4 linked regions of the Medicago truncatula genome follow. The protein of the gene in region 3 binds, or shares a complex with, the protein of the main gene of each other region. Links are inferred from orthologs where the notes say so. Each region holds a gene or a part of one and is shown on either strand. Other genes may lie near its edges.

Evidence for each region.
Region 1: mediator of RNA polymerase II transcription subunit 28 (region 3) and mediator of RNA polymerase II transcription subunit 32 share a complex: the UniProt entries of both Arabidopsis thaliana proteins name them as parts of the mediator complex. The link is inferred for Medicago truncatula from reciprocal best matches to the Arabidopsis thaliana genes AT3G52860 and MED32.
Region 2: mediator of RNA polymerase II transcription subunit 28 (region 3) and mediator of RNA polymerase II transcription subunit 9 share a complex: the UniProt entries of both Arabidopsis thaliana proteins name them as parts of the mediator complex. The link is inferred for Medicago truncatula from reciprocal best matches to the Arabidopsis thaliana genes AT3G52860 and MED9.
Region 4: mediator of RNA polymerase II transcription subunit 28 (region 3) and mediator of RNA polymerase II transcription subunit 21 share a complex: the UniProt entries of both Arabidopsis thaliana proteins name them as parts of the mediator complex. The link is inferred for Medicago truncatula from reciprocal best matches to the Arabidopsis thaliana genes AT3G52860 and MED21.

Annotation. Positions count from the first base shown.
Region 1 is NC_053044.1:57,776,933-57,784,010, reverse strand, and holds mediator of RNA polymerase II transcription subunit 32, read right to left. Parts: upstream 2,063-7,078; 5' UTR 1,902-2,062; intron 1,681-1,901; 5' UTR 1,653-1,680; coding exon 1,206-1,652; 3' UTR 815-1,205; downstream 1-814. Other genes in the region: BURP domain-containing protein 9, read left to right, coding at 1-273; phosphatidylinositol 4-kinase alpha 1, read left to right, coding at 4,899-5,891, 6,228-6,569, 6,700-6,864. UniProt on the Arabidopsis thaliana protein: Component of the Mediator complex, a coactivator involved in the regulated transcription of nearly all RNA polymerase II-dependent genes.
Region 2 is NC_053049.1:5,735,202-5,743,473, forward strand, and holds the start of mediator of RNA polymerase II transcription subunit 9, read right to left. Parts: upstream 3,120-8,272; 5' UTR 3,060-3,119; coding exon 2,730-3,059; intron 2,636-2,729; coding exon 2,573-2,635; intron 2,364-2,572; coding exon 2,283-2,363; intron 344-2,282; coding exon 285-343; intron 206-284; coding exon 148-205; 3' UTR 124-147; intron 1-123. Other genes in the region: uncharacterized protein, read left to right, coding at 6,728-6,928. UniProt on the Arabidopsis thaliana protein: Component of the Mediator complex, a coactivator involved in the regulated transcription of nearly all RNA polymerase II-dependent genes.
Region 3 is NC_053049.1:42,679,576-42,687,083, forward strand, and holds the start of mediator of RNA polymerase II transcription subunit 28, read right to left. Parts: upstream 3,112-7,508; 5' UTR 2,843-3,111; intron 2,501-2,842; 5' UTR 2,030-2,500; intron 1,632-2,029; exon of another isoform or gene 1,203-1,631; intron 708-1,202; 5' UTR 694-707; coding exon 504-693; intron 1-503. Other genes in the region: UDP-rhamnose/UDP-galactose transporter 4, read right to left, coding at 3,554-3,904, 3,998-4,159, 4,806-5,006, 5,096-5,280, 5,846-5,996, 6,236-6,277. UniProt on the Arabidopsis thaliana protein: Component of the Mediator complex, a coactivator involved in the regulated transcription of nearly all RNA polymerase II-dependent genes.
Region 4 is NC_053048.1:13,820,858-13,828,315, reverse strand, and holds the start of mediator of RNA polymerase II transcription subunit 21, read right to left. Parts: upstream 3,081-7,458; 5' UTR 2,931-3,080; exon of another isoform or gene 2,904-2,930; intron 2,691-2,903; 5' UTR 2,639-2,690; coding exon 2,432-2,638; intron 1-2,431. UniProt on the Arabidopsis thaliana protein: Component of the Mediator complex, a coactivator involved in the regulated transcription of nearly all RNA polymerase II-dependent genes.

The sequences.
Region 1 (7,078 bases), on a different chromosome or scaffold from region 3:
TGGGTAGCTTGTCACCCTAGACCTTACCCTTATGCTCTTTACTATTGCCACTACCTAGACATAGGCAGTAGGATCTTCAAAGTTCTTCTAAGGGGTCAATATGGAGACATGATGGATGCTTTGGGCATTTGCCACCTAGACACGTCTGACATGAATCCTAATCATTTTATATTTCAACTACTTGGAATGAAGCCTGGGGAAGCTCCACTGTGTCATTTCTTCCCTGTAAAGCACATTGTATGGGCGCCACTCCCACCAGAGGCCACCAACTGAACAAGAGGGAACTAGTTTGTATCTTTGTTAATCGGTGTCTGTGTCGTTCCCAATACTTTTCATGTTGTTGTGAATTTCTCAGTACTGTAAGGTCTTGTTTCTGTGTACTAAATAAGGTATTGTTTGTGTACTAAATAAGGTTTTGTTGGTCTACTAAATAAGGTCTGTGTAATAAATAATAAATAATTGTGTATAAAAATAAACCTTGGTTTGAAGTTTGAACTGTTTAGGAATGAGTTGGCGTCCCTTTAGTCTTTCAAATTTAGGTGGTTGTTCAATCATGAAAATGACATTAAAATAATAATCTCTATATAGACCATGAGATTATTGAAAGACTAAGCTGAAGACATATTCTCATGGGGGTTAAAAATTTTGAATGGCAAATACACACACAGACACACAATTAGATACACACACACACACACTAAAAAGAAGCATACTTATAAATCACACAATCAAGATGATTCTCACAAATCGGAATATGGTGCTTCATATGCCTCAATTGCAAACCTACAAAATCAAAGTTTGAAATTCTACAAACTACAAACCCAATTTACCTAATTTTACCCTCGTCTTACAGGGCACAGAAACACAGGATCACAAGGAAATGGGTAAACCTTACATAATTGTGCATATGGTATTAATAAAAGGGTGGGTCAAACCTAATCTTACACTAATCCATCTTCAGTTACAAAAGGGTGGCACGGTATCTTTGTGGGATATAAAACAATAAAACACCAAAGCATCACTAACTGAAAACTTAGAAGTGTTGCATCATGCACTGTGCACATAAGTTACATCCTTTAACATACAGCTACTAAACAGGTAGAAAAACGGCAAAAGCAGTAAAGTCGGGTGCATTTTGAGCGGTGAAAATATAAAATCCAAGACATTATTAATAATATTAATAATCTCATACAGTTAGGTAAATGCTACTGAGCAGCATCTTCAGAAAACCTGGCATCAAAAGGGGCCGAGGGATGTGAAAGAGCTGAACTAGAAGAACCAGCAGGTCCTCCAGAGCCATGCTGCAATTCAATCACAAGCCACCGAACCGCTTTACTCATCTGTTCCAAGCGAACTGCGCTGATTGGTGGAAGACCCGTCATGGTAGCTTGTCCAGGTTTCCCTGCCACATGCCCTGTAGCCTCATCCACTAAACACTCTGATCCAATCCTTTGCTTCACAGACTCCACATACTCCTCGGCTTGATCACACGCTACTCTAAACAATTCCCACTTTTGCTTAAAGCTTTCGAGAGCAGTGTCTGTTGCAATGTTTTTAAGGGCAGTGGAAGTTTCTCTTGCTTCCAGCACAGTTGCTGCTGCAGCAATAAAATCTAGATAGGCACTATTTAGAGAATCAACCACACTGTCCATTAATCCTGTTTATTTTGATGTTAAACACCTATGAAACACACAAAAGGGCAGATAAATCATGTGAACACTAAAAATTATCATCAAGACCAAATTACGATATCAAAATTAACAATACAGAATCTAGGATATCAATCACGCCGCTAGAGCGCGCAATCGCTAGAGAGTGGAGATCTGCTGCGACGCAACTCTAAGAAATAACGCTGCAAGAGAAGGAAATGAAAATTGGGAGAAGGAAAAAAAAAAACTTACGGTGGATTTTGTCTTCTAACTGGTGATAGACTCCGGCTGCGATCCCGGGCAGATTTTGATTAAAACAGGCAGTTTAAGTTAGTGCGACGGCAGCCAATATGACAATGGGTGGGTCTCTTCAAAAATTGATGTGGATTGGCGATTATAATCTCATCTCAATTTTTTTTTAGAGCAATGATATTATTTGACAACTTTGTTTTTCTCTCTTCTTATTGGTCAAAAATAATGGAGAGAAAAAAAAGAAGAGAGGATAAGACGGTCATGTGAGTATAAGTGAGGAAGTTGTACAAAAGGGGAGTGGTTATGGTGCATAAGGAAATCCTTATGCACCGTGCATAAATCCCAACATAATTGCTTCCTACACCTCCAATGTGAGCCAAACCATTTTTGTTCAAAATAAAAGAAATATGATGGTTGTGATGTGTTTATGCACGGTGCATAAGGAAATAACTTATGCACCATAACTTTTGCCGTACAAAAGTTGTCACAAATTGATCATTTCTCTTTTTTTTACTTACCATTTTTTGAACAGATATTATCGTCTATAGTTGTTTGTGACAAAATGTTTGTTTTTTTAATAGAATAAAACCACATTCATTCATTCAAATCAATAGTACATCGGAATACCATTCTTCGGATTTGAAACATTGACGTTCAAATCTTTGATTGAATAATCAAAACACCGCAATAAGACGACAAATCAAACATGATCGCACAAGACGACGAAATACACATCACCACACTCAGGTGACAAAATCACGAAGAAAAAATTAGATCTACGTGAAAAATCACTCATTTAGATTGAAATGGAGAGAAAAATATTAAGATAAATGATTTTAGAAGGAAAAACCAGGAACAACATGTTGGATAGAGAACTTAAAAAAAAAATTGTAATAAATAGGCATGGGCGGTTCTATGGCCCGGCGACCTCGGGTTCCGGCCCAATTTTTTTCAATTTCTTATCTAAATCCTTATGAATATAAATTGGACAATTTATTTAGATTTTTTGATTATTTGTTTGCCACTAAGTTGTTAATTTTTTTGACAAAATGTCATATCTATAGTAGTATAATTAAATAATACAGTTTTTTTAAATAATTAAATAATATAATAGATGATAATACTTCCCAAAATAAAACTATCATATGCATTCACGGATCTAGTGTGGGGACAATGGGGTCAAGCGACCCCACTTGCCTCCACATGTGTATTGTATTTTTAACCCAAAATTATATATATAGTTTGACCCCTCTTTATATAGTATTATTGTTTTTACATAGTCTATTTATTACATTATAAAAAATTACAAAACTAAGAAGGATCCTAACGAGTGTTACAAGAGCACTAGTTAGTAAATCAAAAGAAGTAGTTTTTTTTTTTTTTATAAAAAGTTGTTATAATTATTATATCGATACAAATAATGTTTATCTTTAAGATAAAATTTTCTTTTACGAAATCTTTAACCAATTATCTCAAAGCATATCGTTGGCAAGACCATACAACTACTATTATAATATAAACTATTCTTATATTTGTTAAAAAAATGTTGTGATTGACGCTACGTTGGTGGTCAAAAATAATTAATTATGGTTATATTTTTTATACTCCGCTAGAACTTGACAAATATTTTTAAAAAATCAACATTTTAGGGCAATTATATATATAACTTGTATAACTTTCACACGCTTACACATTTATAAAGTTTTATATAAATTTTTATGATATAACTTGACCCCACTTATTAAAATTTATGGATTTGTCACTGATCATATCAAACTTTTAAGAAATTACAAATCAAATTTAAATTAGGTTACAATACAATCAAAAAAGTTTGATTCCTATATAGCCAAGTGGGTTAACACTCGAGCTACCTAGGCATAACTTCTCTCAACATGACTTAAAAGATTTTTTTTGTTTTTTTGTTTTTTTTTGTAAATCAGATATCCTCTACTCACAACTTGGGAGGTTAATCCCTCAGTGATCATCAACTCTTTCCAAGAGTTTGAACGTTTTTGCTTGCCCATGCCGGATTCAAATTCATGACATTAGTTAAGCTGCAAGATATTTGTGTCATCTCATTTAAGTGTTCTTAGATTAAGAAATATCGGTGAATTGTTGTTTATGTTTCTTCCAATGTTTCTTGTCCATCGGGTACAACGTGGGTATCACTATTTGCCTTGGTACAATTGTGTTGTGGGCTCCTCCGATTTTTTTATCTTCTCAGTCTCATCCTCATGCTAGTAGTAGCTCTACACAAAATGTTGCATATTTGTTGATACTCGATAACACTTCAAAAAATGTTCTTAACGTTGCTCATAATATGTATTTCGATTCCTTCAAAACATTGTGTATTCTAAGACAATTTATGGAATAACTATCTAAAAAATTATCTTTTTGCTTATAAATGTGACGAGGGAGAGTTTAAATTTAAATTTAAAAAAAAAATACATTCCAAAGGCCCTAGGACGTATTTTGATCTTTAGCTATTTATTTATATTTATTTCGATGAAATCTAGTTGAGAATATAGATAAAAAGTCATTATCATTATTTATTGTAGTGACAAAGAAAAAACGAATGCCTTCAAAACATGAAAAATGAATTCACCAACCAAAAATAATTATGAAATGAACACCATGTATTCCCACGCGTGAGAAACTGAAAACGGATGCCGTATCGCTGAGGCACAAGACACACGCCGTGGCCCACTGACCCCACCCCCAATTCTAGTTCAAATTAGACAAATCCAAAACCCGAATCTAAAATTATCGCAAACCCAAAAGGAAAAAGAAAAAAAAAGAATTAAAAATATAAAAAGAAAAAGTAAAAAAGAAAGAGAAAAAGAGAAAAGAAAGCATTAACCATGGCATGGAAACTGCAACGACGAGAAGAAGAGTAACAATGTTGGTACGTGGTTAGAGAGAGAATCGAACGCCACGATCTCTTCTGAAATCTCAACATTCTCTCATTTTTCGTTTGAATTTTCACCCTAATTCGTGATGGAAGCGTTGATCGAATTATGCGACCTCATTGCACAAAATCCATCGCAATTCTCCGATAAACTCTCGTGGATTTGCGATAAATGTCCACCGCCGGAGTATCTTTCCGCCGGATCGCCTAGGGTTTCACGTTCTCAGCTCAATGCCGTTACCGCCGTCGCTCGTTTCTTATCTAACTGCGTAGATTCCACCGATCTACGACCTAAATCAGTCGCAATCGAGTTCCTCCGTTCAATTCCGCATTCCTTTACTCACTCCTTTTGGCCTCAACCGTTCAACGCCGATTTCGTTGCATCTTTCTTCAACGATTTCATTGGTTATGTTTCCAAAGCTGCACAATCTTCGTCGGATTTCGCGGACGAGGTTGCTGGATTCACCGGTGAAGTTGTGTTATCCGCGATTGCGGAACAGGATTCTGTTATTGCTAGGGCTTTTTTGATGGCTGTGTCGCAGAATTTTCTTCCTATTTCGTCTTCCGATGGAAATAAATTGGTTACTTGTTTGATTGAACAATATGCGGCACAGATTGCTGTGGCTGTTCCTAGCGCGCCCGGGGAGCAAAATGCCGGAAATTCCGATAATTTTTCTGCTCAGAGCTCGCCTCTGAGTGGAAATCATCAATCTCAGACCAATTATAACGGTAGTCTGACTAGTAATTCGAGTGGAGCGGCTTCTAAGGCTGCTGGTGATGATGCCACTGCTAGCACCGCTTCATCGAGAGGTTCGGTTATGGCAAATGGGGGAAGTCATATATGGAGGAGTAATGCCGATCAATTGGCGCAAAATTTAGGTTTAAATGATGGTGGTGGATGCTCTTCTGGGCAACAGGTTACGTCCTTTGAGGAAGAGTCTGTGGACTTTTTGGAGAGACAAGAAATTGCATTTAAATTGATTGCTCATGTGTTGGAAAAGGTTCATGTTGATCCTGCGCTTTTGGAGCAGGCTAGGTTGATTGGGAAGAAGCAGATTCAGTCTATGTCTGCTTTTCTAAAGGTAATCATTTTTTCTTACAATGCCTTCAGTTTGTATTTATTTTCTCTGTTATGATTCGTCATGGTTTATGCACCGTTGAATGTGGATAGTGGAGTGAGGTTAAAATTTAAACTAGTGTTGTCAATTACGCATTGTTAAAATTCCGTGCTATGCGATAGTGCTATATCGCCACTATAGAGGCTATTTGATAACATTTTGTACTAAATAGCTTATTGGGGAACAATAGCAGTTTGTCCAAATACCGCTATGCTATAGCGGTATAGTGCCACTATAGTGGTTAAAGTTTAGGTTTATTTGAGGAGTGAGACATGTTTTAATGTCTGGAAGTTCTTGCAGATAAGGAAGAGGGATTGGCATGAGCAGGGGTCAAGTCTAAAAGCTAGAATTAATACCAAATTGTCAGTTTATAAAGCTGCAGTTTCTATGAAAATCAAGAGCCTCTCGGCATTGGGTTCTGATTCGAGATCCGTCAAGAGATTGGTTTATGAGGCAGTTGCGATACTGATAGATGCAGCCGAGGCGTGCTTGCTATCTGGATGGAGGAAGTTGAGAACATGTGAAGAGCTCTTTGGTTCCTTGCTTCTTGGGGTAGCACAAATTGCCATTGCCCGAGGAGGTCAGCCGTTGCGGATTTTGCTCATTCGCCTAAAACCAATTGTGCTCAACGTTTGTGCTCAGGTGCACTTTGGTTACTTTTCAATATCATATTTCCATAAACATTTTGTTTTCAAACTTGCATTCCAATTGACATATAACTTCATGAAATTTGCTTTGCTTGTTTTTTAAATTCTTTTGAAATGTTACTTAGCAGCCTGAAACATGGAGTAGTAACCAGGGGACCATGTTCGAGAGTGTCACAAAGGCCAGCTGTCAGATTATCGAATCCTGCTGGACTAAGGAGCGAGCCCCTGTAGACACGTACATAATGGGGTTAGCTACAAGCATACGTGAACGGAATGATTATGGGGAACAGGTTTGTGTACTAATTTTTTGTGCATCCATGAGGCAGAAACTGATAATAAATAAAAATATATTTGAGTGTGTCCATATTGTACTGTCTTTTTTTCTTCTTTCTGTGTGCGCGTACATATCTATCTATATAACATAACATATATTACGTTTATATATTCATGTATACATTTTTATTTGTTATTACGTGACTGAAAGGTCACAGGTTCAAGTCTTGG
Region 2 (8,272 bases), about 37 Mb from region 3:
ATAGTAATTACAAACATATTTAATACAAATATCCACTATCTTAATTCCCGTTATTTTTTCAAAAGGGCCTTGTAATTAGGGACGGAGGTAGTAACAAATAAAATCTCATATAAGGTTCATTACCTGTCTGAAAAGAATTACAGGCTCTTATGGCTCAGATCTGACAAGCTCCTCTACAGATTTTGTGTAATTGGCAATCAAATCTCTGAAATAGAAGAAAACAGCATGTATTTAGAATCTATGGACTTAACCAAGCAGAGATATTTAATACAATTTGTACAGACCTTCTTTGATTTAGCAATTGCTCGCTTTCCTCCAGCTTCTTCTTCTGTCCCTCAACGGTCTGGATTAAGCAACCGAAAAGCTATAAGTTAGGCCAAGAACCCCGGCTTCAAACTACTAGCAAAAGACTTAACTTTTTAATGGTTCGAGGACAATCACATTGAGAAAACTGAGAGCAGACGAATCATTCTTCTTATTAATAACATCAGCAATTATTGTTTATCATGCACAGGGCATGTTATTAAACAAAAAGGAAAATGTCAAGAAATCAGAAGTGGAGCTTTTGAGATGAATAATAATACATTGAATTTTGAATACTTTGATTTTCAATAAAAGCTTTCTAAATCTTGATTCTTTAACAAATGTCTTAAGAGTCCTCGACTCCTCGTTATTAGAAGGACCGGAAATAAATATTAAAAACAAAAATCTGACTATCTATGAAGCCAGGGCTAAACAGTATTAACAGAATGTCAATTTAGACACAAAATCACACACATATCTATGAGAGTACGTATTTAGAGTTACACCGAAATACTTCAATTAGTCATTGATTTCTCTCAAGTGGTTTTTCAATTAGTCACTGATTTCTTTTCTTCTCTAACATCACCTTCCTAGTTTGTTTGTTACTTTACACGAAAAAAAACAGCTTAACCTGCAGAAATTTATGAGGGCCATATTTCTTGAGTCTATGTATTGCGTCATTGAAATCATTTGTTTTATTCATTCCTTTTCTAATCATCAAGGTATGTCATATACCATGTGTTTCTGTCCATCGAGATAATGATATGAAAACAAAGACTAGGTATAAAATTTAAAAAAAAGCATGACCAATATTTCACAATCAGATGCTATAATCGCCAGAATACCCAATTATTTGTGGTAAGATCAAAATAGAACTTTCAAATCGAAGTGTTGTCAAATAGCAGCTACAGCGCTATAGCATAATGGAATTCAGTGTTGTCTATGGCAGAAGGCTGTATGTGGCAGAGAACCAAAGTCCCACCATACCGACCGCTTTGTGGCGCCGTCACATCAGATTATGGCATAAAATCCCTCCATATTTGCCAAAATTGGGCATTGCGGAGAGCCACAAAACGGCCACCAATTTCCTCCATGGCTGATATTCGATAACAGTACAGGCGGAATATGAATAAAACGCTATTGTTCGGCAATCAGCTATTTACTACAAAGTGTTGTCAAATAGCTGCTAGTGTGGCGCGATAGCTCGGTAGTATAGGGAAATTCAAACATAAGACTATTTTCCGTATTCCGCAATTGACAACACTGGAATGAACACCGAAAAGCCCAATTTGACTTTTTCACCATCAAGATTTTTTTTTTTTGAAACAGCATAACATTAATAGCCACGCACCAGAGGTGCAAAACGGCGAGGAACTACAAGAGGGGCCGAAATGCTCCTTCCCAACCTGATGCCAACCGAACAGACAGCAGGAGGAAAAGGCACCCCGGGAAAACATAAAAAACCAGAAAAACCAAACTGCAGTTACGCTAAACAGAGAGAAACGCAGCAAAAACCCCCATCCACAACTGATATAACAGACCTGTAGCTGCTGCCAAATCCACCTACCTAACCGCATCAAGATTAAGAAGAGTGTGTAATCCTTTTTATAACCATAATCGATGGCTTGTGGGTATAGGCCTTTGATGATAATCTAAAGGTATCGCTCTCCATTTTTTAAAACCTAAGCCATCTCACATGTGCAGGCTCGAGGAGTATCACGTGAGTAATAATAGTAATCAATCACAGTCATTACTAATAACAAATTTAAGGTCAGGATTTGTAGTATCACTAAATACTTACTCCTAGAGTCAACGAATCACTTCTCTTTATGTACTTCGCTTAATAGCTTATTACTATAAACATTGAATTTTACCAATACAACGGCTGACTATTTTCTTACTACATTGATGATCAAGCACACAAAATAAATATATTAAATCAAATCAAAGCATAACAAAAGGAAGTAAAGAAGAGATACCATAGCTTTGGTGCTAATAGAAGCAGAGATTGAGTTTAACAGCTGCTGACACTTCTCAAAATGATTGCTCAATTCAGTGATCTTCAACCAACAAAATTAACATAATGAGTAATGTATTCAAATTCAAATAAATAACCATGAGACGAATTAATAAAAAGCCTTATGAATCAGACATGACACTACACTCTGACACCCGTAAAAAAAAATATTGATTAAATAAATTAATTCAACTTAATCACATGTGTGGGTGTCGTATCATAAGTGTGAGTGTTACATAGAAAAAGTCATACCAATGCATCTGATTGCTGATCCGGGTTTCCATGTTCAACAACCTCAGCCAAATTCTCCACCAACTATATCCACAACAAGAAATCTTCAATTAATTAAATAAAATGTGAAAATAATTGAAATTAATTAAAATTAGGGTTTTTGAAGGGGTTAACATACATTTAAGAGATGAAAGTGAGAAGCGAGTGATTGATGAAGATTCTGCTGCTGTTGAGGTTGTTGTAGCTGTTGCTGTTGCTGTTGCAGAATACGTTGTTGTTGTTGCTGTTGATAAAGTTGTTGCTGTTGTTGTTGTTGGAATTGAGATTGGGTTGTTTGAGATTGTTGAAAAGGTTGTTGTTGTTGTTGATGAAGAAATTGTTGTTGTTGTTGAAGATAAAGATTTGGGTCTTGATTGGATTGAGATTGAGATTGAGATTGAATTTGGGGATTGGAATTAGGGGTTGGGATCATCGTCCATGTTCCTCCGGGAGAAGAGTAATGTTCCATTGCTCTATCCTTACACCTTCGCTTCAATTCGATCCCTCTTTTAAGTGTTCTCCTCGATCTCTAAATAACAGAGACAGTTGACCCAATTACGCATACGTAATTTTGAGTTTAAATATCTTGAATAATATATTAGAAAAAATTATGAAAATTTGATATTTTGAAAATACTCATCGAGACGAATCTAACGACATCTTATATGATATTATTTATCTTTGTATATTAGTAGAAAAATATGGTTAAAATAAGATAGATCAAAATTACACATTTTCAAACAGGTCATTTATTGCAGGATGGATGGAGTATTTTTTAACCAACAGAAACTAAAATTTATAGTTCTTTACAAAAAAAAAAAAGTTTGCAAGTACTATTTCTATATCATTAATAACATTGTGATTTAATTTTTAGCATCAAATAGAATTGGATTCATAGTCTTGGTTAGATGCATCTCTTACATTATCTACAATAGAAATATTTAGGTCAAAGTCAAACTCAATATGTTCATGATGATTACTACTTGAGTGATGGTTTACCCATCAATTCCAAACAACTTATCTAAAGATGTATCTAGTATTTGCAAATTATTCAACGCTAAAATTAAAGGTACTAATTTGTGAAGCTTGCTCGCAAGAGAGGAACGTGTTCTAGTAGTACTTAAAATATATTAAATTATGAGATTTAACTTTTCTTATTAAAATCTTATTATTTTGTTATTATTTTTTATGGACTCCGATAATTTTGCAATTTTTTTAACACATTCGTTTTTTTGTCAAGACATTCAGTTTTATTTTATTTGTTGAAATTCATATAAAAGACAAAAACTAGTGAAATTTATTTGAATTTTAACAATTAAAAATGATTGTATTATAATAATATTAAATAGAAATGAGTGTCCTATCATTTCTTTTAAATATTTGTTTGAAATTCAGCCGATCATTTTAAATCTTATAAATCATAAATTCATTTAAAATCCTATAAAAATTATAATATCAATCCATTTAAATTCTAATCAAAAGTTCTTACAAATTTCTAAAGTTCTACTTTAAACTACTATAAGTAATTAGAATTTTAGTCTTTCACTTCCTCCGTCTTATTTTAATTATTATTTTTGGGTTGTGCGCGATTCTTTAAAATAATTAGTTAGATTTTTTTAGACAAATAATTAGTTAAATTGATCACAATGATAAAATGAGTATTATTTATTAAAATAGTCTTTTTAATTATTATTATTGTTATTAATAAAATGATTAAATGAGGTGAAATTCAATAAATAAAAATATATTAATAAAAAATAATAATGATATTTTATAGCCACCATTGTTTTGAGATTGAGTAAAAAAAAGTAAAGTAACAATTAAAATGGGGCCAAAAATAACCAACCCTTTATAAATCATAAATTAGGACAAAAACTGTGTTCAAAATCCCTTCATGTTATTACCACCAAACACAGCCGCAGGAAAGAAACAACACAACACCTCCTGATTTCAAGGTCCGAGGTACAAGGAAACATTAAGGTTTAGATTCACTGTGTCTGTTCAATTCAATTCTATTTCAATCCTCAAATAATCATTTTCTAAAGGTTTTTCATCTTTCAGGTTTCATCATATCAACCTCCATTTTCAATTCCAGGTTTCACTATTTTTCAATTTAATCCCCCCCCCCCCCCCCCCCCCCCCTTTTTTTTCTTTTTCTTTTTCTTTTTCCTCTTAAGCTTTAATCAACTGGCTGCGTAGTATATATTCTACATGCCATCAAAATTGTATGTTCAATTGTTTTGTTAGATATTCATTCCTAAAGAATTTGATCAAGATTATAAATTGGGGCAAAATTATGTTTTTTCTAGGGTTTATTTAGCTGGGTTGATTGTGAATTTGTGATATTAGAAGTTAATTAATACTGGAAAATGAAAACAAAGAGGACTTTTTTAAGTTTTAACTTATCAATGCTTCAACTTAATTCATGTTCAATGAGTTTGAGAAAAAGAGGTTTTTGTACAATGCTATTTTTTTTTACACCCTTATAATTTTCATTGAGTTTGGCTTATGCTTCCACATTAGTCCTTTTCTCCCGACCCTGCCACCCATATGATGCAACTATGCAAACCTTGCAGACTAGTATAATGAGAATGAGATATCTTGATTGATGGCCAGCGCTGTCCAATAACGGCTATTTTAGCGTTATAGCGCAGTAGAATTTGAACAAATCGGCATTGTTCCACGATACGCCATTTAGTACAACATTTTGTTAAATAGCGGAGATGATAGCTTTGTTGTGTAGTCATGTAGTGGAATTTGAACAAACCGCTATTATTTGTGATTTCCTCTTGAGTTTGAGCCTCCTAGGATACTTCCGTAAATCATAGCCACAAGAGAGCTCCCTTTCTCCTGAAGTTACTGTGTCATTTTTCCGAGTTCCTTCGACATGGTTCTCTGAAGCGCCTTGATGACACCGGAAGAAATAGGACAAATGGAAAAAAAAAAAAAAATGTTTCTGTAATGATGATGGATGGGAAACATTGGAATTGTTGATTTAGTTTTTTTGTTGTGTTAAAGCTGTTTTGGCTTATGATATGTGATCTTTCAGTAAAAAAAAATAGAGAGATAAAAGCTAGAGTCCACCAATAGACAAAGTTGTTTTGGACGATAGATGTTAGCGAAAACCAATTCTGATGTACTTTCAACACCAACCTTTTGCTTCAATTAAGCTTTTGTTAGGCCTTCCATACTTCAGATCTTCACACAAGCTTAATTGAAGCAAATTTAAAATGTTAAGACCATCAACTTCTGATGGTCTTAACAAATTCTGATGTACTTTCAACACCAACCTTTTGGAGGCTTGGGTGCGTTTGTTGTCATTTTAAATTTCCAGGATTTTTTTGTTAGGCCTTCCATACTTCAGATCTTCACACAAGCTTAATTGAAGCAAATTTAAACTTCTGTAAGGGATTAGTCTTTGAGGGGTTTTTTGTTAGGCATTCCATTCTTCAAATCTTTTAACAAAAGCTTAATCGGAGCAAATTTAAAATGTTGGCAAGAATACATTATATCATAAAGTGAAGTTTGATCACTCTCTATTTTGGACTCCAGGCTTACTATATCATAAAGTGAAGTTTGATCACTCTCTATGTTGGCAAGAATACATTATATCATAATGTTGGCAAAACTAACTTCTTTTATCTTTTCTTTTATCATGCTGTGTATGTCTGGTACAACAAATTGGGTTTGAGCCATGGAGCTTGATAGAGAAGAAAGGTGAAAACCGATAGAGAAGGAGGAAGGAGAAGGAGTAAGGGAGAGAAGCGAATTAGAAGGGGATAAAATATCATGTGTAATTAATTTTATATGGAGCATTAAATCTGAACCGTTTAATTTGAACTAAATGGCTATAAATGAGTCCTCTCATCCTCTCACAATAACATGTCCTCTCATTTGATACATCCCCTATATATATATATATAATGAATTTTCATCCATTTCAGGTTTGTAAATAGTAAATCATAGTCTCTGTGCATTCATTTAGGTTGTTAATGTTGCTCGGTTGATGGAAACCATGATGGTGTTAATGTAGCATGTCATGATCATCCTATGTTTGTGTCGTGATTTGTGAAACTATTTAGTTTGAAAAGTATCAGTTTGATCTACATTTTGCAGGTTACCCCTTTCTTAGTAGCTATGGCAGTAAAACCAACAGTTGCATTAAGAGCCATCCTTGTTGGAGGTATAGCGGCGTTTGCTAAAATAGCAGGTGCAATGAAGGCTGCAGGTGGTGTAAAGATGGGCGCGGCTGCAGCTGCCATGACAGCAGCAGCAACTGCAGCTGTGACTGGTTCAAAACAAGAGCAAAAAGATCCTTCTCAACAGTCCACAAAATAACTATCTTTTCCAAAGTTCAAAGTAGCATAGTTCAGTATCTGCTATTCGGTTAGTTGAACCGAAAGATAAGAGGCCATATGCGAATTATAGTTTTTACAGAAGATACTGTATTAACCTCGTCGAGTCCTTGTAGCAAGATTTCATTAAATTTGTAAAGTTCCTGTAGTTTAAGAAGTTATGAAGATTTGAGACAAAGCTAAACACCAGCTGAGTGGTTTTTTAATCTATTTTTCAAAATTTGAATTCGCCAAGACATGGGTTTGGTGTGAAGTAGTTTTGTATACATTTGGTTCGGCTTCCAGTTTTCAATTTTCACCTTTAAAGGGTCATTTCACCGCAATTTCTCGGAAGCCACAATTAGTAGCTTCACTTTGGATGCATTTTTATCAGTGTTCCACTCTGTTGTTTACTATTAATGGTAAGTTTTAGTAAAGGGGGTTGGAGTAGAATGTAATCTTTTACAAAAAGAATAAATTGTACACAGTATGCACTTGATCTTTGATTTTGTAAGACGAGTGGATTTACCCTATTTAATCTTGTCATTGGGCTGATTGTGATTATATTGCTCATTTCATTTTTAAAAGGAGGATGGTACACATAATTTGACACTTTTTGTAGCATTCTTCATAATTATTTTTCACCTTCCTCGCTACTAAACACTTTATTTTTCACCAAAATCAACTCATGCACAATTACTTTGGAAACACCAACTAACGTAATAAACTACTACTAATCACTTTGTTACATCTTTACATGCAAAAAACTCTAATGAAAAAAGATTTGTCCCTTTATTGATCATCACCTTGGAAATGAAGTAATGGATTGGAGAGAAAACCAAAAAGCTGTATACAATGGTAAAAGAAAGTGATAAGATAAGAAGAGAGGGGCTAGTCAAACAAGCAGAAAAGTTGGCAATGTTTTTGGGCAGAGAAAGCATCTTTTAAGTCTCTTACAATTACAATGACAAGTCAACTAGGATAATGACTCTATAATATCCATCATTAAAAAAAAAATCTAAGAGGTTCATCTCACATTGCTTGTTATTTTATAATTTTAATATACCATTATTTTTTTTTTCCATTAATGAATATATATTTTTTACTATATCTCGATTCACCTAACTAGTAACTACTGTTTATAAGAATAGTTAAATGAAAAAACCCATTTTATTACTGATATTATACGATAAATCATCTTATTGAATTGAAAGTGTGCAAAATTTTAATCAACATTGAATATAAAAGAGAGGTAAATGAAACCAAAAAAAAGAGGGGGAAAATGCAAAAATAGAAAACGTGTTGGGTCATATTCTTGCAAAACTCTCAGCTTTTAGAAGTAGCACTA
Region 3 (7,508 bases):
CAAAACACTGAATTTCATCGAAGATCAGACATCAGTACATCCCATTTTCACTCATTTCTGTGGTTAGATTGCATCATATCAATAATTATTGATTAACATATGGTTCACTGGTTCTTTACTAATTTATTTATCTATTTAAAATCATCAATATGAACCTTTTACCACCCTTCTTTTCTCCCCATGGATGATTGGTGCACTCATAACTGCACATTTAACAATGTGTCAACAAGTGAATTCCACAAGGGGGGCACAATGTTGTTGCAAGGATTCTAAACTTTAACATAAAAAGGTCTGTTAACTCATAACAGTTTAACCAATCAACTCAATTATCACATGGTACATCATATTCATCCATTGATCACAAAAAAGGTCTCAAGTACACCCTTTTACATATATAGTCTCGTCTGAAAAATATAAAAAAAAATTAAGCTATCATGTAACTTAATTTGTAATGCAGTGAACCAAAATCAGAAATTTGAAAGATTTGATTTGAAGTTACTCACTTTGATGGGAAGGGTGGGGAGAACGGTCTATTGCTTGAAGTTCTCTGGCTGGCAAACAGGGAAGCAAAGCAGCCTCCAAAGCCATAACACATGAAATCATATCATCTTTTGAGGGAGGAGGAAGAGGAGGAGAAGATGGCAGCTGTTGATCAACGGTATGCTGGTTGTCAGCTACTTGGCGATCACCCATTTGCGAATTTTAGCCTGGTAAGGGAAAGACGAGATCATGAACATGATATAAAATGAAATGAATGCTTGTTAATTGTTAAGGCTTCATTTTTCATGCCAGTAAAGTTTTAAATATTAAGTGGTTTGGCCTTTGCTTTTCCTCTACCTATTAGTATAAATTGTCTATCTACCCTCCTTGCCCATTCTTTTGCAAGTATTCTCCACATATGCCCTAATTTGAAAGCAAAATTGCATTGTTTAGAGTTTGACACTTTGTCTCTCTATGATTAATCAAGCATCTTAGAGAGACATAAAGATACTCTTTTAAAACCAACATTGGCGAAGAGACCAATCAACTAACTAATTGAAGGGTAGCATTTAAAATGTCATGAATGAATTTGGGTGAAATCAAAACAGTAGCAAAGTGCAGATCGAATTAAAGTTGTATGCATTACGATTACGAAAATAGATAGATTGATGATTAGATAAAATTAGTGAATTTGGATTAATTATTTAATGAGATAAACTCACAGATCGATATGCTCCGAGTGAGGTTCAGCAGCAGAGCTCCGGCGACAAATCGGACACGGTAACGATTCGTTGACCAGAAGAAGAAATAGCTACGATTGCTAATCAGAACTGAGAAGAGAGACTGCGAAGAAGAATCGAGGGAATAACAAGAACAAGACAGGGGTAAAATAGGTATTTCTCATGGTTCGCTCATCACTATCCACCTCGACAAACAAACCTCATTACGACCGAAACTAAACTGCTTAGTGGTTTGCTTTTTAAGATATTTTTGTTATATTTACATATAAAAAAAAATTCATTTTTAGTTCTAAGAGATTTTTTTTTAGGGAAGTTCTAAGAGATTATGCATACATATTTTGACGAAAGGAGAAAATTTAGGTATAATTCCTTAGTTGCTTTTCGTATGGTTCTTAACTAAAAATATATATTTTTTGGATATAACAAACTTTGAGAAAATTATGAATTTGAGGAAATCATGGTGAATTTAGTTAAAAAACATACGAAAAGCACTTAAGGAATTGTACCTAAGTTTTCTCCTTGACGAAAAAATAAAGCGTGCATATGAAATGACAAGCATAAAGCATATCCAATTTCTTGCTAAATGTTTCTTATTAAATTTAGTGTTTGTTTGGTATTACGATGGACAGTGGCGGAGCCAGACAAAAAAGTTTGGGGTGGCTGCTATTAAAAAAACTTGAGGAAAAATCGGGAAAAAATACAAAGAGGTGCCGCCTAAATACATAACACCAATTCCCCGAGAAAACCCAAAACCAACAATGGCATCAAACAATGAGGCCGAAGTATATACTAGCATAGAGCAAGCATACCCCTTCCTCACTCCTGAACTAGCCAAGCATCATTGAAAAGCAACCACCAAAGACAGAAAAACAGCTGCAAGCAGCGCTGATCTGCTACACCAGTAGCACCAAAAAACCAGTAAAAAACTGAAAACAGCAGAAAATAAACTGGCAGTAAGGCACAGACAGCTCCGAATACTAAACCATGATCTCTCCTATGGCTCTTGCTCTAGCTAGTTGTCAAACTCAAAGTTCTTTTCTAAGGTTTCATTTTATCATAAATAACTCTTCTTCTCTTCTCCAACATTAAGCTACAACCACATAGCTATCTTCTTGCTCCAATTTATCTAACATTACATAAAAATATTCACAATTTCAAACAACCATCAAATATACGGCATTTTAACTGCATATCTTCTTGAGTCATCATCCATTCCACTCCATTAGCTTTCAATTTGGAGCAGTTTAAGATGTAAAAAGTTTAGTCCTACATCAATAATACTATATTTCACATAAAATTAATCAGTAGATTCCTCCAAGAATTTACCACAAAGACTTAAACAAGTAATTTCATTAGAAAGTGAAACCATCACTAGGCTATGATTAAAACTATGATTAACAAAAAAATCTTTGTAAAGAGAGTAAAGGTTATGCAATTATAAATTTATCAATTAACAAAGGACAGTGAATATGGTTACGACCAAAGGGGCAAAGAACAACAGTCAACAGGTTTAACAATTAGAGTTGAAAATCAACTAAAGAACTCATGGCAATCAACTAAAGAACATGTAATCATCAAATCATAATCATAATTGAAGGAAATTACATTCAATTTCACATTACCTTACAAGTTACAACAATTAGGGTTTGTGGAGAGAGATGGAGATAACTCTCTAAACTGAAGGAGGAGAGTAATCGCGGCGGCAGTGATGGATGGAGAAGGAGAAGAGTGGTCGCGGCTCACCGGCGGTGGTGGATCGATTTGCTTTGGTTGGGAGAAGAAAAGGATCGCGTTTCTCACTTGTTCTCAGATGAAAGAGAAACGGGAAGAGGAAATGAGACTGAATAGGAAATATTAGTACTATTGAAGGATATTTTTGTAATTTCCAATATATAAAAAAATTTATTTATTTTTAGAATGGGTTGCCACCCCCAGTTCCGCCACTGACGATGGATATGTCAGAATCACGGTTATCGACCGCGATTGTGTCAAAACTACTATAACTTTTGAAAAATCAAGATGGACCACCTTGATTCTAGCATACCGACGATAGGTACCCACAATGATAAAAACATAGAATTAACTTTGGGTACAAGAGATGAATAACTTGATTTTCTTCGAGATGGGTAATATAAATGGAAAAAAATAGACTCAGATAGAGCTTTGGGTTATCTCCAACTCCATAACACAAATCATTATGGATTATCTATATAGGAAAACAATTGACCAAATATTTTTACATTATATAAAGATAATGAACCAATTCACCAAATGAATACATGACTTTTCCAATCAATGTACTTGAGTAGAAGAAGTTTCACATCCCTTTATACTTACACTTCCTCATCACTGTGATCAGTTTCAGCAGATACTACCGGTAGTAAATCATAATCTTGTGTTTTGGTGGTAGGAATAGGAATGGACAAGCTACTACGAGACTCTTTTCCTCCTGGCTTTGAAGATGCATTACCATACCAAATCATTCCCATTATAGCAATGATCATGCCTACTATTACTTGTAGATTGAGACCCTCTCTTCCAAATAAGATGAATCCTAATGTAAGGACCAGAATAGTCTTCATATGGCCAAGGACTTGGAATGATACTGCTGTGAACCTTCCAATGCATATGAACTGACTAAGGTTTGTTCCAACCGCGATAGTGCACGAAAGAGCAATGAACAGCTGCAGACAAAAGGAGAAAAACATTGATAAACAGTTTTACATATTTCAGAGATGTATTTGCTATATAAGAAACAAAGAGAGAGTGAAACATACAGTGGATGTTAAACCATAGTTGTAGGCATCAACTCGTTTTCTTGTTAACCAATAGTCAAGAAAGGGGCCAACAACCAGTAAACTTGTTGCCTGAATTGGTGCTATATGGCCCAACAAGTTGAAAGATCCAAGTGAATACTTCTTCTGCAGAAAATGCACATACTGCACAGAGTAAAAGTAAAATATCAGGCCAAATATTGTTGATGGCATCCTAATAAAACAGTATAGTAAGAACTAGAACAAAGCTAACATATGTTACAGGGCTCGATCCAGGCTCTAACGAAGGATCATAAAATAGGTTGAGGGCTCGATCCCTGCTACTAACAAATCCAAATCCTTCTAACAAATTAACCACTAATAATTTGCCTATAAAAAATAGTGATGCATGCATGTGTCCATTGTCTAACAAAGAAAACATGCATTTGAGAATAATACTAATGATTAAAGATATAGCTCCTCTAAAGTGAATTGGCAGTTCAATTTACATGGTAAAGTAAGCAATGTCAACAATTAATGAGAAATTTAAAGAAAAATATTTCCATATATCAATGATTTATTATGTGTGTAGTAACCGTCAACCGCTGATTATCTCACCAACATTGAAATTACATAAGTTGGCTGTTTTTGTCAACTTTAGATTTGTAACAAGGTGAATTAATTCTTACATACATGACAACAAGCACCATGCATCTGACAGTACACATTTACCAACTCTAGAACCGCCTTTATGACAACAAATTCAATTTTGATCTATTGCAATCTTTCAACTCAAATTAAGAATTGATATATAGGTTAGCATATTACTTACATATTGCTGCAGTGCGGTGCTCCAAACTGCCACTGCAGCAGCTATGAAACCCTTAGCATTGACACTCACATCAGTGACTGTACATACAGCAACTCCAAGGAGAACCAAAGAAATGCTAAGCTTTGTGTCCCTTGAATATTTCACATTGTCCAAGACAATTTCCAAGAAACAAGATACTGGAATCATACTCAGCTTAGCAATCTGAAATTTTCATTACAAGGTTAAGAAACAATATAAATATTTGTCTTGATCACACGGATATATAAATTTTAACTGTGATGATGCTTTACCTGATAGAAACCGACAGAGTTCCACATTAAACTCACGTTCATTCCCACAATAGAGAAATTTGCAAACAAGACAAATTTGATAAGATCGGGCAAGGGAAGATGAGTGTCTTGGATATATCCGTTCCACTTAAGAAATGATGTCAGCAAGGTTGTTGTGGCAAAATGCAGACCAGTTAAGGTTGTAGCTGCACAAATAATAGTGTATGAATATATAAATATGCAGTGTCAGAACTCAATTACTACATTAGAAGAAATCGTAAGTCACATACTCTTTGATCAACTAGTTATAGAAGAGAAATGATGTTTAATAAATCATTCAGTGCTATTATCAGTAATAAACTTTGTGATAGCGAGATACATATAGACAATAATGCTTATCAATCACAAGAATAAGTGTGTTTTGTTAGGTGGTGATAACGGTTTAAAGTGAGATGAACGTAAAGTGGTTTACATTTGTATACAATTATGAAAAAATCGGTTGAACAATAAATTCAAGATTAAAAATGAATTGTAGAGGCGAAAACTTCAAATTTTAGCTTCCTGTTAAAATGAGTTCGGAATGCAAAATCAATTTTACTTGAGAACTCCAAACATGTCAAAATCAGTTCTCCTTCTTTGAAATAAATTTTGACTTCTCCAAAAGTTAAACCAAAGATACACTAAAATCATGCAAATAAGTTGTTTTAAATAGTTTATTTAATACATATCAGGGAGGGGGGAATTGAAAAGGGTGATGAATTATGACTATACCAAAAGTGAAACCATATGTAGCCATCAGGGCTTTGTTCACAAGGATTATTCCTACAGATGTGACTACATTGAACAGCCATGATGCAAGATCAAGTGCAATCTTCCTATCCCCCTTGGTTGTAGAATCCATATCGAAACCTAACTTTCTTATCTGCATAGAAGGAGAAAAAACGTCGTCAGAAGCACAACAAATTCCAATGAAATAGTTCAACATACAACTTAAAAAATCATTAAAATTAGTGATCTCTGGGAACAAAACAGCATTAAAACTCTTAAGGAATGCTTTGAAACTCATGCGATCCTACTCAACTTGACGGATTAGTATCCGCAATTGCACAGGGCAATACTCAATTTACATCTAATAAACATAGATAAAAATAAAACAATAACCATGAAATGAAAGTGAGATTGCACAATCCTCTTCAGATTCATTAATCCTCTCACTTTATAGCAATTTTAATTCTTAGGAACATCAATAATTCTCAACACAACAACTTATTCAAGAAGAAACCATAGAACACTTATTTTCATTTCATTTCTATAATTGCATATATGTTATTTCTTACACTGAATAAACAACCTCTTACTCTTTAAGTACCTGATGAGAGAAAATTTGGTAATGTAATGAAGAAACTAATAGAGGTTGCTTGTTGTAGATAAAAAAAAAAAAAAAAAGAGAAAGAGAGAAAAGCAAAGAACACAGCTCAAAATTTGTGTGATTTGGTTTCTAACTTTGATAAGTTACAACTGAATTTTGGGTGCTTTTTGTAACGTTTAGGTTGAGTGTGATGAATTGATGATAATAAAATGAAGTGGGGACAAATGAGTGAGTTTGATTTTCAGGGGTAAACCAAAACTAAAACGAAAAAAAGGAGATGTTGCTTGTTACATAATAAACGGAATGTCATGAAGAAGAATTGTCTATTTTGAGCACTAGTATTATTATGTCAATACTTGTGATGATTAAATTTTACCTTAAATTTAACTATTGTTATTTATTATAGGTACAAAAATGATGGCTGATCAGAATAAATGGGAGGACTGTACTCTTCAGATGTTACACTAATTGTTGTTAGCAAATTAATTTAAAACAAGTAAAATTAAAGAATTAATTTTTATAAAATTTATATATAAAAAAATGGATTCTATACATTCTTTAGGTCAAGAAAAAATGGGTAAAATTTTTATTTAAAATAAATACGAGGGAAAAACGTGCATTTATATATTTATATAATTTTAATATTATTAATAAGGCTAAATTATACTTTTTTATTAACTTATCATGTGGTTTCATTTTGATCTCATAACTATTTTTAGTTTCGTTTTGGTCTCTTAAATGTAATTTTGTTAATCAAACTCGTCCTTATTGTTACATTGTGCACACGTGTCATTTGTGACTCAATGTTGTCTAAAAAAAATTAGACATGGCAACGGGGGCGCGGGGGCGGGTTTAAGCATTATCGCCCTCGCCCCCCATCTCCAAACCATATCGGGGTAAAAATTGAACACCCAGCCCCGCTCCAAAGAGCAAAACAAATCTAATAAACATGTTTCTAAAGAGTAATATATAATATATTAAAATAAGTTGGTGCTTATTTGACAGAAAATGAAAATAAGATTATAAAATTTAATAAGGAGATTTCAAAAAGCAGGTGCAGGCGGA
Region 4 (7,458 bases), on a different chromosome or scaffold from region 3:
TTTGTCTGTTTGTATAAAAAACTGATTCTTGATGTGCAGAACGAGAAAAATGATGATTATCCATCAGAATTTCAGTCATTCTTAGATAAGCAATGGTCGTTCAAGGTTGAAGTTGGTGATGGTAATATAATAAATAATTGGCATTGCTTTTCTGTGAAAAGGACTACTGATGACTCTGCTGTCATCCAACAATTCATAGCTATGCATAATAGAAAGGTACATATGCCCAATTCTTTTCATCTGCTATATTTTAGACCTTTAACTTTAGCAGAAATCTAATTTTATTAATTTTATACATTTAATTCCAGCTTTTAAGAAGAGGCTGACTACATGAATGTCAGTAACTAAATTAGCTAATGAAGAACACTTACTGGTAAAGACATTTATAGGACTTAAATCATAGAGTTTGATGTTGATCATGTGGGTTGATTAAACTATTTTAAGTTTTGTTTCTGTTTTGTGATATCAATGGTATATTCATTGATGCTATTTTGATTTGGTTTCGTGCTTGCAGGGTGTTGTCATGCTGTCAACCATGTTTGGACATGACTTTGGGGACCAGATCGGTCGCTACGCCGCGACGTTAGTGAATCCCAACTATAATGAGTTAGAAGTTTTGGTGCAGAGGAATAATGGCGGCATTTTCCTGACAAAGGGATGGCGCGCACTGCATGACTTTTACAATGTTTCACTTGGTGCCTGGGTTACGGTTGTTTTGGTTGGGAATGGAAAGTTTAAGATAAGGATTAAGGATAGGTTTGGTAAATCGATTCGATATCCAACTTTCATCCCAACCATGAAGTTTGTCGTTAATAGGATTGATGAGGATGCCAATTTGTCTCCTATGTTTCCTTTCAAACTGTTGTGGGACGATGTATATGTTATTCATCTTATGTTGATCGTTGTTAGTCATCACCAAAATGCTGTGTTGTGTGCTAGAAGGATGTTTAGTACTTTTATTGTAAATAAAGTGATTGTAACAACATGGCCTAGGAACAAAATATGGTTCTGTTAGGTAACAAAAATAATTTCAATTGGAAAAGATTTTTAATTAGTCGTTGTAGCAAGCTATTATGTGTTTGATTTTATTTATGGTTTACGTATATGGAGAGTATGTTCTGCCATTCCATGACATATGTTTTTATCTGCTGAAAACGCATACACTTTAGACCAATTTATATGTATATTAGTATTTGGACAATTAATTGACGGGTTTATAATCTAACCAGTTTCACAGATACATTGGTGTTATCCTTTATATTACAATTATGTATTAATAGGCAGCTTTTTAATCTAACTATGTTGACACATACATGGTTATAATCCTTTATATTCCAATTATGCATTATATCTCAAATTGCAATCTAAGTTTCGGAGTCACATATGCTCATTTCATACAAAACATAGTGACAGGTAAAAGCTAACATTTACTAAACAAATTAACATACATACATATAACATGAGTTCTTTTAATGGACCTTATGATCTATCGCACCTATATTTTTTAATAAAAAGTGCAGGTAATGTTTTGATGCCGCACGGGTGAAAAGTCTAATTATATTTATTGAAATAATATACTCCACGAGAGGCCCAATTACAATAATCAAATTTCATTCTCCACGACACTCAAGTGCCGTAGTTTTTTTACCTTTTTTAATGTATATGTAATTATGGTTGTGGAACGGCAGTTAACTTCCGCCACAAAAAAGCGAACAGTTAACTGCCGTTGGGGGCATTTGAGTCATTTTCTGGTGTGGGACAGTAATTTTTAAAGTGTAAAGAGCAATGCCCTCATGCCTTCTTCCTCTCCTACTCTTTTTCTTCACTCCTTCTAAACCAGTGATAAAGGGTTATCTGAATATCTTCCCCTACTACTCTGTGTTTAGTCTTCCCTTATCTTCCCTGATCTAAGTTATTCCTCTTTGTCGCGTTTTAAAAACTGATTTTTACTTAAAAATCGATCCATGACAGCAACGTAGCACGTTTACATGGGTGATGCGGTGGGAACAGACAATATCACAGTGGATCAGCGCTGGGATAACTCGGTCAAAGCGGCCGCCTCACCCATCTGAACCACTCGAGCGCGGCTGGGAGCGGCGGCATCAAAATTTCCGCTCCCCACAGCTATATCAGCTGTAGCGGCCGCTATTGACAAACACACGCCAAGCATTGATACTCCATCAAATTTGAGCAGAATTGTTTAAAATGTATGACACTTGTTGTAAATATGATCGTATATTTTGTAATTATTATTACAGATTATATTCAGCCAGTTAATCTTACCCGTTAGGAATAGCATAGTCCATTTAATTAGTTTAGTGATTCAACTCTTATTACATTTAAAATAATATCCAAAAGATTACTCACAATTTCTACAGTCCAACATAACCATATTTAAAGCTTCTACGAAACTTTGTAAAATGCAACATACCTGCTTAGCAGCCTTGACCAAAGAAGCACCCATGAGCTTCGGTTCTTCAGAAAAATTTGCCCCGTCCTCCGTAGGATGTGGAGGTGGTTCGGGGTAATTTGGCGAGAGGCGGTTAGGAGGAGCATCCCTTTGCAATGTTCCGACGGTATTTAAAGCTAAGTTTGCAATCAAATTAACTTGTTCTTGTAGCTGAGAGATTATATCCATTACAAGAACAACTTTGTGGTGGAAATTGACTCAATAAAATTCTAGTTGTCAACTGCAAAATAAGGAACAGAAAGTAGAAATTTGAATTTGAAAACGAACAAATTGATATATAAACAATTTATCAAACACTTGGCATACATTATAAAATCTAAACTATTACGATTGGTTGAGCAATATAGTGAAAACCCAAAAACAAACACAACAGAATCAAATGCAAAACTTAATCACAAAAAGGAGATGAAATCAAAGATGAAGTTTTGATTACAACGAAGCCATTGACTCCCTCACTCACCAGCAGTTGTACTTGTAATCCCACCCACAATGGCGCAATTTTTTCTCTCTTCTTCGAGAGTGTTTCTCTCGTTTTGTTCTTTTCGTTTCTTAATCGCACCAGTATTACCTATTATTAATTGGGTTGATGGGTCAGTCTTAGATCATGGGTTAATGGGTAAGCTAGAAACCCATTTGGAGTTGGTCGACTAGTTTTTTTTTTTTTTTTTGGCATAATTGATCTGCCAATCCTTTAACTTATTTCTTTTATTCAATTTGCTCCAATTTTGATAATTTTAATATCTTAAAAAAAAAAAATTGTTGGATTACGGAGGTCTATCAGATTTTATAGTGTATCAGTAACACCTAATTTATTTACTTTCTTCTTCATCTTCATTCATCCTTCATCAATATTCATCAATAAAATCAGAAGAAAAAAAATATTTAAACCTACTATTTAATTACTACACCACCATCATTGTCAACTTCATCTATCATCATCAACACCCTCTTTCATCCTCATCAACTCAAACCCGAAATTAATCACTCCACCATAACCATCCCTAAATCAAACTTCCAACTTCAAATCTCACACCCAAATCCAACATTATCATCATAATCCACATAATTGCTTCCCTAAGTCACACCGTTTCTGTAACACACCAAAATCAAATCTCATACCCAAAATCAACATTATCATCAAATGGGTTTTTGAATTTTTTTAGAAATCCAACAATTTTTTAGATACTTGAGCTTTATATAAAATTGAATTACAATTAAACCTTCAAAATTCAAAATCACACATAGAGTTGTCAAAACGGGCGGCCCGGCTCGTTTAGGGTCGGCCCTAACGGGCTTCGGGCTTTATCGGGCCGGGCCAAAAAGCCCGGTTGAAAAACGGGCTTGAAATATACTACCCGAGTCCGGCCCTACACGGGCCGCGGGATTAACGGGCCGACCCGTTTTAAAAATTATATATATTTTTTTTTTCAAAAAGTACTATAAAATACTCCTATAATTTTTTTTTATAAATAATATTTTTAATATGTTTAAATAATGCCTAGAACAAAATAAATTGTAAACATTTTCGTACAAACGTCGTAAACTAAAACGGCGAGGAAAACAATTTTAAATAAATTAGATACGTTATGGTTATAGATATTTATATATTCGATCTTTAAAATTATAAATAACGAAACGAGTGAATATAATTTTATATTACATGTATATTTGTGTTAATTCATTGAATTTTCACTTTTATTTATTACTTGATAATCGACTAAGTAAAGAATTATTTGAAAAATATATATAATTTATAGGATTTTTTTTGTTATGCGGGCTAGCGGGCTACCCTCGGCCCGTTCGGGCTAGCCCTAACGGATAGCGGGCTTTTTAGGGCCGGGCTAAAAAGCCCTATTAAAATTCGGACTCAATATTTAAGGCCCAAGCCCTATAATTAATCGGGCTAAACGGGCCAGTCCATACGGCCTGGCCCGTTTTGACAGCTCTAATCACACACATACAGATTCCCAAATCACCGTCGAATCATTTCAAAACCATTTCATTCAAAACAGAAAACAAAAAGATTCTTCAAATCACTACAAAAAAAATAAAAAATAGAAATCCCTTGTTGGGAAACTCCCTCTAACGAACCGACCCTGAACCAACCACAACTTTCTTCTCCCGTGGAATCTCCAGTACCCACGCCAGTAATTTGGGTCGTCGTCTTTGTAAGAACGATTCCTTGATGCATTGGTGTGGCTTTGATTCCGATTCCGGTTATGAGTTCCCTCTCTGATCCTTTGCTTACTTGTAACTTCGTCTTCTCTTGTTTCCGGCACGGTGGCAGTGGCGATGGTGGAGTAGTTGTAGCTGTAACTCCCACCTACACTGCATGGTTCTGAAATGACAGAAATTTCTTCAAAAGCTTACTCCAATGGGTCCACGTGTGGTAGATCAATTTACTGAAAATGATAGAAATTAAACCTTCAAAAATTTCTTGTGCTGAGTTTATTTACTTTTATGGAACAGAACAGATCCATGCTTTTGCATACGGGTCATTATTTCTTATGTCAAATTTGGAACTTGTTGAGGTTTAATTGAGGTTTTGTATGAAGATTGATAAAGATGATATTGAAAAAAAAAATTGGGTTTTTCTATTTTATTTTATGAAGATGATGGAAGAAGAAGAAGAAAGTAAATAAATTAGGTGTTGGTGATACACTATAAAATCTTATAGACCTCCCTAATCCAACGATATCTTTTTTTAGAGGATTAAAATTATCAAAATTGATCAAATTTAATAAAAGAAATAAGTTCAGGGACGTGTTTGAGAAAGTTAAGACTTATAGGACCAAATTGAATAAAAGAAATACGTTAAAGGATCGGCAGTTCAATTAAGCCTTTTATTTTTTTAAATGAAAGGAGGTTATACCATTTCATTGATTAAAATGTGTTCAATATAATTTGGTATTTCTAACAAAATCTAGAAACTAGTTGAGGATATGGCCGCCTTAGCTAATCTAGGGGCTGCCTCATTTGCTTGTCTCCTCACAAACTCAACACTAGAGTTGACATAGTATTGTTCAAAGATAGTTTTACAATTATGAATTATCATCCCAAATTCTGTAAAATCCTGATGTGCAGAGGAAAAACTATCTACAACTTTTTTTAGCATCAAGCTCAAAATCGATAGGTCCCAAGTGTAACTGATGAACCCATTCTAAAGCTGATAACAGTCCAAGAGCTTCGCCAACATGTACCTCCCAGACTCGAGTAAACCATTCAGTTTTTGCCAAAACAAAATTGCCTCATCTCTTATACAAACTTCTATTCCCACTCTATTAGAAAGCTGGGAGAAAGAAGCATCAATATTGCACTTAAATCTTCCTTTAACTGGCTTGATCCATTTCACATTTCCTTCTTGTCGCAACTGTGCACAAGATGTATTACAAATCCTACATGCATCTTGCCAATCATGAAGCATAACATTTTCTCTCTCAACAACATAAACTGGAGCATCAATTACCTCATCCCACACTCTGTTGTTTCTTTGTTTCCACATAGTCCACAACACACAACAAAATAAAGTTGCATCATCCTTAGATAAATCATGTAATACTTTGAAGATAATATTCTTGTTATCCATATCTTGTAGCAAAATAGAAATAGAAGAAAAGAAAGGAAGCATACTCCAAACATTTAAGCTACTTGAAAATTGAAAAAATAAATGAAGTGTATCCTCATTGCTCACCGTACACAATGTACAATTCATAGGGCATGTGACTCCTTTATCTTTTAGACGTACACGGGTTGGTAAGCAATTCCTACAAATTTGCCACATAATTTTTTTTACCTTCGGAGGAATCTTGAACTTCCAAATTATATTCCAAGAGCCTAGTACCTTGAAATGGGATGTCTCAAGTAATTCTTGAACAAAAAAACAGTATGCACTACGAATAGAGTATTCGCCATGATTTTCTTTTTTCCAGATGAGTCGATCTTTAGTCACTGATGGGTAGAGCGATGTGATTTGTAACGCCCTAGTTGTTTATTTAATTAATTTGAATTATGTGGAGTATATATATTTTTATATATGATGTTTGGTGATTTATGCGGAGTATATATATATATATATATATATATATATATATATATATATATATATATTTATATATATGTGATTTTTGAGTGTTTTATGTGGTGTATTATTTTATTATATAGTTTATTTAATAATAATTATAATAAGTATGAAATATTAGTTATTTTGGAGTTTGGAGAGTTATTTAATAATTATTAAAATTAATGGGGAGCTAATGGAAATATTAGGGAGTTAAGTAAGAGGGAAGTTGAGAATTGGATGTCAGAAGCAGTTTATGTGAAACCAGGAACAAGGGAGAAGAACCAAGGGAATCCATTTTTGCTGTGCATTTTTATTCTGAACTAAGGTAAGGGTGAGGTTTACTTCAATAGTGTAGATTTTAAAGTCTGATTTGAGTTTAACAGGTTTTTGGAGTGAAATTGAGGAATTGGGTTTTAATTGAATTTATGGTTTTTGGGGTAGATATTGCTGTTCTGATGTTAGAATTTGGTTTTGGTTGCATAGAAACATTCATTTCTCATCTGTAAACTGATTTGGGGAGTGATTGGGAGGAAAATGGGATTTTTGGGAAAAACCAGTTTTCTGCCCGTACAGAAGTTCATCGCTCGCCTCGCGAGTAGCTGTGCTCGCCATGGCGAGTGAGCAACTTCATAGCTCGCCTCGCGAGCAGACCAACTCGCCATGGCGAGTAGCCCAGATCAAAACGTGATTTTTGAAAAATTGTTATAAGATGTTTTGGGGATGGTTTAAGGTACCTAGATGATATTAATGATGAATGGTGGAAGTTTTAGGTTAAAAAGATGAATAGGGAACTTAGAATTGGGATTTGAGTGAGAAAATGGCACTTTTCCCGAGAGCACCTGATTTTCACTCGCCTCGAGTTCGCCTTGAACTCGCCATGGCGAGCTAGTGTTTTTGTGAACTCGCCATGGCGAGCAGATGTGCTCGC